Linked DNA regions of Rhinolophus ferrumequinum. The protein of the gene in region 1 purifies or fractionates together with the protein of each later gene. This does not show direct contact. Links are inferred from orthologs where the notes say so. Each region holds a gene or a part of one and is shown on either strand. Other genes may lie near its edges.

What was found.
Region 2: the proteins of CSNK2B (region 1) and RPS6KA3 purify together in Homo sapiens (affinity purification with mass spectrometry; 5 studies listed by BioGRID and IntAct, with this or other methods). This does not show direct contact. The link is inferred for Rhinolophus ferrumequinum from reciprocal best matches to the Homo sapiens genes CSNK2B and RPS6KA3.

The regions. Positions count from the first base shown.
Region 1 is NC_046286.1:2,159,183-2,162,927, forward strand, and holds the start of CSNK2B (casein kinase II subunit beta), read left to right. Parts: upstream 1-1,172; 5' UTR 1,173-1,405; exon of another isoform or gene 1,406-1,671; intron 1,672-1,858; exon of another isoform or gene 1,859-1,995; intron 1,996-2,192; exon of another isoform or gene 2,193-2,347; intron 2,348-2,594; 5' UTR 2,595-2,605; coding exon 2,606-2,677; intron 2,678-3,377; coding exon 3,378-3,480; intron 3,481-3,745. Other genes in the region: GPANK1 (G patch domain and ankyrin repeat-containing protein 1), read right to left, coding at 1-245. UniProt on the Homo sapiens protein: Regulatory subunit of casein kinase II/CK2.
Region 2 is NC_046284.1:111,171,068-111,174,812, reverse strand, and holds the start of RPS6KA3 (ribosomal protein S6 kinase alpha-3), read right to left. Parts: upstream 2,450-3,745; 5' UTR 2,130-2,449; coding exon 2,061-2,129; intron 1-2,060. UniProt on the Homo sapiens protein: Serine/threonine-protein kinase that acts downstream of ERK (MAPK1/ERK2 and MAPK3/ERK1) signaling and mediates mitogenic and stress-induced activation of the transcription factors CREB1, ETV1/ER81 and NR4A1/NUR77, regulates translation through RPS6 and EIF4B phosphorylation, and mediates cellular proliferation, survival, and differentiation by modulating mTOR signaling and repressing pro-apoptotic function of BAD and DAPK1.

The DNA.
Region 1 (3,745 bases):
CCTGCTGCAGCCTCCCTCCTCATTCTTCTCTTCTTCCGCTTTCTCTCACTGGCAGGCTCAGGCTGTGATCTCTGGGGTTCAGGGGCACTGCTCTCTTCCCCAATCAAAGCCTCATAGAAAGCCCGGGCTGCAGCCCCATCCAGGGTAGGCTCCAGCTCTTCAGGCTGTGCCTGCTGCTGCCCATCTTTCCAGAGGTCGCTGGGGTCGGTGGCCGGGGTGAAGGTGATGAGGGAGGGCCTGGGCATGGCTGTGGGAGAGCTGAGAAAATCAGACTAGGCAAGGGGAAGATGAAACATGCAAGCCAATCCCGTGGTGGCCCTGCAGTGACCACAGCCACCTCCAGAGACCTGCTGGGATGAGGGAAAGTAGCTTTAGATTAAAACAAACAAACAAAAACCCTCCCACCCCAAAAGTTACCTCACAACCTAGGACCCTACAGGGCCTAAGGATGATAAATCACGTGGAAACACGGAACCCTACAATAACAGACCATGCCCTTTAGTAAAGCTTAACAAAGACTCCATGGGACAGTTACGCAGAGGTCCTGCGTTCAGCCCCCTCCCCCAACCTCATCAACAATAAAGAATAAGTAATCTCTTTGAAACTACCGCTCTGTAAGGCATACCATTAAGAAAAACAATCAGTCTGGCCCTTTAGACTTTCCTTGATCCTATTTTGGGTATTATCTTCTCAAACAAAAACAGACTTGACACTTCTCCGGAAGCAGGAAGCACATTTGGGGGAAGGCTGCAACCTGCGTTGTCTTGTAGCTTTCGTACTGCAAAATGGCACCTCTATGCAAAGCAGTTCACAAGATCAAGTAGCCAGACGACTAGAAGACGCCTGAGTGGAAAAAAACCAAACTTTTACTTGAGGGCACAGGCTTACAGAAAGCACCAGGTTTCCCGCCTTGCAACCTTTCCAATAGTATTCGCGCAAAGTACCACGTGCCAGCATAGCACGAGGACCGAGGATCTGTCAGTTGGGGTCCTGCTTTTATATAACGCCCCACAATGCCCTTCGCCTCCCTCAACTTGGTCCCAGCTCTGAGCTCATTTTCTGGAGCTGGGAAACCACTCTCTGGGTTAAAAAAGGCCCTGAGGAGGCGGAGGGAAATCTATGGAATGCCCAGAGCTGTGAAATAACGTCACGCTGCCCCTCACCATTACTCCAATCAGGGTTCGAAGGTCACACTTAGCGCCCGCAGCAGAAGGCCTCATTCAAGCCCTAAGAGGAAATGGAGAACTGCAAGGGGACGAGCAGCAGAATAATGGCTAGCACCACCTCAGGTTAGCGCTGGGCCGACCCGACTCTCACACCGCTCCGCTCAGCCCAGCACATCCTACGCAGGTCCCTCAGCACGGAGGCCGGCCTCACCTCCTGCCTCAGGCGGCCGGACCCCCAGGTGAAACATGGGGCCCGTCGGGGGTCTCCAGTGGCGTGTCTGGTTCGGGCGACGGGCTGCCTGGGGATGAAGTCAGTCCCCTGGCCAGCAGGGGCGCGCCGGGGCCGAAGTCTCGTTCGCTGTGTGAGGGGAGCGGCAGGAAATCACCCAGCCACCTTCGTTCCTTACCCCGCCCCCTCGCGACCCCCGGGTTCCGCGATCACCCGACTATATTTTTCAAGCTCTCTGGCCCAGGACACGGTACAGGGCTTCCGCTTCCGGTGGAGCTTCGCTGCGCCCCGCCCCTAGCATCTTCCCCAGGGGCCTCGCGACACCAGGGTCGTGCGCAGGTCACCCTGGAATTCGTAGTTCGCCTTTCCCTCGTTTCGCCAGTTTCTCACCATCAGAGACTCTATCTCCCGGCGTCCATCGCGGCGCCCGACCCCTGGCGCTTGCGCGTTGCCCTCTTCCCCACCCTCTCCAATTTCCACTCCCCCCTGCCCACTTCGCCTGCCGCGATCCGGTCCGCGGCCTGCGCTGTAGCGGTCGTCGCCGTTCCTTGGAAGTAGCAACTCCCCTCCCCCACCCCGGTCCTGGCCCCCGTCCAGCCGGTGAGTCTGAGGTCGTCGCCGCGCTGAGTGCCCTGTCCCTGGGCACGGCACATGGGGGTCTCCGCGCTTCGATGTGTTTGGTGGAGAAGGAAGAGACCTGGTCCGGCACCCAGGGAGGAAGAGGTGGCCTGAGGGGCGGAGGAGGGATGTGGGGACTCCTGCGAAAGGGAGCTGAGGGCCACCTCCCCCCCTCCCAGGCCATGAGGAAAAGAGGGGCCCATCTCTTGCTTGGAAGGAATAAACTTCGGCACGCTTGGGAAATGCCCCGGAACATGTAGAGACCTGAGGGAGCACGGCCAGAGTTGACGTGAAGGAGAGAGGGGACTGGCCTTTGGGAGCGTCAGGGACGTGGGTAGGACTGGTGGGTCAAGACCCGTCGGTTTCTCGCAAGTGGCGGGACCCCAAAGAATTTCTCATCTCAGAAAAAAGGGGTTGAGCTGTGAATAAGAGGATGTGGGGCGAGGTCCCAGAGTCTGGGACGCCTTAAGGAAAGGTGGCCCCAAATTCTTCCGTGGTTGGAGAGCAAAGTGTGGGAGGAGGGAGGATACCAGAGGCAGGGAGGGAGAACGTGGGTTACACTTACACTCTTCTTTCTCCAGCTGACGTGAAGATGAGCAGCTCAGAGGAGGTGTCCTGGATTTCCTGGTTCTGTGGGCTCCGTGGCAATGAATTCTTCTGTGAAGTGAGTTCTCTTCAATCTCCCTACCTTTCTCCACATGTAGTCTGGCCAGAGATTCTCCCACGTATTCAGCTTCTGCGCACTCGTCTCGCATGCTTGCATAGAAACGTTTTCCTGTCAAGGAAGAGTGCCCTCAGTAACCCACCACTAATTTGTGGTGAAATAGTAAGACTGGGGCCCAACTCCCACCCCTGCCACCCGCCAGCAGTATAACGTTGCACAAGTTAGTCTGTCTGTTTTATTACTAGAGGGGTATTGGTAATATCTATTTCTGGGGACTGGTAGGAGAATTAAAACGCCGCGTTGTAAAATGTTTCGTAGCATTTAACATAATGTGTTTCAACGTAAGGGATGTAACTGCCTTCAGAACCCATGCTTTTCAACCCCTACCTTTCTCCGCCATCTGCCCCTAAGGAGAGAACAAAACTGGTTCCTAGAGGGAGGAGCAGGAGTAGGGACAGGTATCTTGAAGGGGAAGCCTCTCTAAGGAAGGGAGTGCTGTACATGCTTATCCTTAGAAAAGAAAAGCCAAAGCTTCTATGGACGGCAGTGTAGGTAAACTGGGGAGAGAGACTCAAGTGCTTCTGCTGAGTTGGGAACAGAAGCAGCTGTCTTGAGGATAAGGCACCAGTTAGAACGACTTGCTCAGGTCAATGCCAAGGACTGTGCCATGGGTTCCCTCTTGACCTCTGCATCCTGACAGGTGGATGAAGACTACATCCAGGACAAGTTCAATCTCACTGGGCTCAATGAGCAGGTGCCTCACTATCGACAAGCTCTAGATATGATCTTGGACCTGGAGCCTGGTGAGTCACCTCAGGGTTGTTTTGTGTGTGTATGTGCTTTTTTTCTCTTCATATCGCTATTCATCTGCTTCTTGAATTTCTAAACTTCCTTTTTGTTGTCTGATTCCCTTAACCCAAAATCCCCTACTTCGTTTTGATTGCCCCTCCTGATTCTTGCCTAGTTTTGTGACTGATACCACTTGTCCCCGCGTTCTGATGCTATAACTCAGCTATATTCCATAATGCATTTCCCCAGGGTTCTCATTTTCCGCTTCTTTATCCTACC
Region 2 (3,745 bases), on another chromosome or scaffold:
CGGAGATTGTTTCTTAATCTGTAACAATGGGAACCATAATCCTCTGTTGGATTATAAGAAGGAGAAAATGAAATAGTAGCATGTAGCACAGTATCTGGCATATAGTAAGTGCTAAATAAACATCAGTTTTGTGCCTTCCTTATCCAAGTATAAGCTATTCAGAAAAAGGGTAAGGTAGAATTTTAAGTGATTTTTTTACACATTGGTACGTGCCAAGCAGAAAAGTGGATTGGTTATGAGTTGCACATGTTAACGTTTGTATCTGAAAATCAGGCTCAAAGCAAATTCAATTTCTTTCCACAAGGTCAGCACTTTGAGAACATTATTAACCTTTTAGCTATATTATTTAATGCAAAAAAATTTCTGAGGGAAAAAAATGAAAAGAGCCCCTTGGAATACTGTTCTTCACAATATCAAGTCAAACATTCTAAATCTGATTTTCTTATAAAAATATTTATAGTATTAGTCTGGCTAACATAATTTTAAATGAAATTCTCGTAATTCTGCCATTCTTAAAAACATGATTTCTTCAAAAAAAATTTAGGTAACATATATCAATGTCTTTTCAATTGATGCACAGCGTTTAGTTTAGGGTTTTAAAATACGATCCAAATCGCAAAATACTAAGCACCAATCGTAAGCACTATTACAACTCTGTTTGCGTTAAGCAGAGCAAGTAAACACTTTATACAGCAGTGGAGGTGACTAGGAAAAAATTGAAAAGCGATTTAAACGGATCCCCCTCTTTTCCCTCCCCTCCGTTATGCCCGAGAATGCAAGTGTCCCGCATCTCAGATCAAACTGAGCCTGGGTCTTACTGACGTAACCAGTAACCCTATCCACCTCTCACACTGCGGAGGCCGGCAGGGCAGCGTCTGCGGCCAAGTACACCACTCATCAGAGCCTGTCCCGTTCCACCCCCGCGTTTCAGTCATGCTTTCCAGAAATGGGGTCACTCACTCGGTAACTATTGCACACACGTAGCCTATCATCCTGTAATCCCCCAAAGTCCGCTGCGGGGATAGAAGACAGCAAAAAGTCAAGAAGGAAGAATCACAGACGCGCCACCATCAGGAACTGATTTTCCACTCGAAGAGGAGCGCTGATGCCCTGGAATGGGTCTTGTCTGGGTTATTTTCGCAGACCCTGAGTTGGTTCTGGGACAAGGGGCGGCTGTGAAAAGCTCGGTGCTGTGGTGTGTCCGGGGGAAATTCTATTTTGCCCTGTTTGGGGGTATATCTGGGTTTCTGGCACTCGGGTGGGTGTCTCGGGGACGGTCACCAGATCCCGTGCGAGGAAAACCAGAAAGCCCTTTACGACGGCCGCTGATCTCCTTGAATAGCACTCTCTCACCTCCATGGACAGGAAACTCAAGCTAAACTCGCAGGGACCGGGTCCTCGATAGAACTGAGCGACCTCAGAAACGGGGGGGGGGGGGGTGCGGGGATGGAGGATCTCAGGCTTCCACTTTCTCCTTTGCAGCAGGAGAAACCGCTGCGGCAGTTCGAAGCAAAAACCCTTGGTTGTCCTGCATCCCAACCAGAAACCCCCACAGGTCGCTATCCCTGCCCTGGGCCGTTCTTGCCCCCGCGCGCCAGTCTTCCCGAAACAACCCTGTCCCTGGATGGGACTCGAGAGTCCCTGCTCCCTAGTGAACCCAATTCGTACTCCTCGCTCATCCCTCAAAGCCACCAGGGTCCACGGAAGCTTCCAACCAGGCAGGGCCAAACTTCCCAACTCTTCGCCGGCCCCCGCTCCGCCTCGCGCTTTCCCCACGCAAAGTTGATTAAAATCGGCTTCTTGCAAAGCCCCAGCGCCCACTCCAAACCCCACGCGCCACCACACCACAGCCCCCCTAGCAAGGGCGGGGAGGTGAGGGTGAGGGTGGGAGGAACAGAAGGGCAAACGGACCAACCCCAACTACCCCAACCGGAATCCCGGAGCGAGGGGAGACGCGAGAGGCAAAGGAAGGGGCCGAGTGGCCAGCTCCGGGGAGGGAAGCCAGCCGGCGGGGGCGACGGGAGGGGGCGCGCCGGCCCCCGCCACCCCGCTGCACTCACCTCCGCGCTGTCGGACGGGCTCTCCACAGCCATCTTCTGCCACGGGTCCGCCAGCTGCGCCAGCGGCATCTTCCCCCCCGGCCCGCCGCCTTCACCGCCTCCTCCCTCCCCGCCCGCCCCGCGGCCGGCCCCACTCAGTCGCTGCCCGAGCCCCACGGCAGCGGCGGCAGCAGCAGCAGCAACAGCAGCAGCGGCGGCGGCAGCAGTAGCAACAGCGACAGAGGCTGCCCGAGAGAGGGCTCGGTGTCCGACACCGACCCTCGAACACCGCGCGCCCGCTGGAGACGCCCGCGCGCCAAGCGAGAACCTCGCGCCGCTGCCCGGCACCGGGTCTCGCCCCTTTCTTCCTCTCCTCCTTCCGCCGCGGGGACTACAGCTCCGCCCCCCACCGCGGGTTCCCGCGCCCGCTCCCAGCAGAACAGCGGCCGCCGCGCGCTCCCCTACTTCCGCTCACAACATGGCGCCTTAGCGATACCTGTCTCTCAGAGCGAGGCTCGGCCACCGCCGCCACCGCGCGCGCACCCGGGGGCGGGGCTCTGTGAAGACACGCCCCCGGTCGCCACGCTTTGCTCCTCCCTCCTTCCTCGCCCTAGCCTCAGCTTCTGGGCCTCGCCTATTTTCAGGAAGGGCGAGCCCCAGAGATCTGGGGGCGTCGGCGGGGCAAAGAAGAGGGGGAAAAGCAGGAGGGGCGAAAGGGTGGGAGCTTTTGAACAGCCTTGGGTCCGACCAGGTCGGAGGATCCTTGGGGATGTAGCGAACAGTGGTACCCGCCCAGATGAGGAGGGAGATGGGAGAGGCTCCGGGGGCACAGTCCGGTGCCAAGGACCCGGGGAGCGGGTATGGGGTGTCTTTTCGTCTTGACTCCTCCGTGGATGCGTTTGGGTGAGCCGAGTCTATGGGCACATCTCGTAATGGCCAGGACCTGCCCTCTCCAGGGTCACACGCTGTGCATTCACCTGCCCCCTCCCACACACACACCAGGGACACTGAAGGCTTAGTGCCTGGGAGAACCCTGGGGGTTTGGCTCTCGGTTTGATCCAAGGCTCTCCATATTAACACTCTTGTGTTATATTTTTAATATTTAGAATTCATTTGTCTTGCATGAGTCGTCCCCCCCTCCCAAGTCCGCAGAGCCCTCGGGCTTCAACCTGGACCCTTAAATCCCCCCACTCCTTGCTGCCTAAATCTTCATGAAGGAGAAAACAAGGAGGTTCTTTAAGGCTGCCTGAGACTCTCGGCAGAGGTTGGGGAATTATTCTAAAATATCTTGTTGGCAGAAGTCCGGGGTTCCTGCTCCTCTGTTGACTTTAAATAAAAGATTAAATTAAAAAAAATCAGGCAGGCCGTGGGTGGAGGAGGGGGAGAGAGGGAGGAGTTCTAACTCCTGCCCAAGATAGGGAAGCCCTGGGTTGAGGAAACCCTATCCCCAGACGGCGACGGCGCCCAAGAAGACAGGGAGAGCGTGTGGGGAGAGGCCTGGGTGTCTGGAGTGGGTCCCGGGGGCTTGAGTGAGACCCCGTGTGCCCCGCGCCAGGTGCCGTGGCGAGCTTACTGCCCCCGGGCAGAATTGTGCAAAAGTCGCCAGGCAGAGTGGAAAGCTACGGCAGCCACTGGCTTATCGCCCTACGAGGAGAAGGAAAAAAGTAAAGGGAACTCTCCAGGCTGTAGTGCCTTCATTCCCTCAG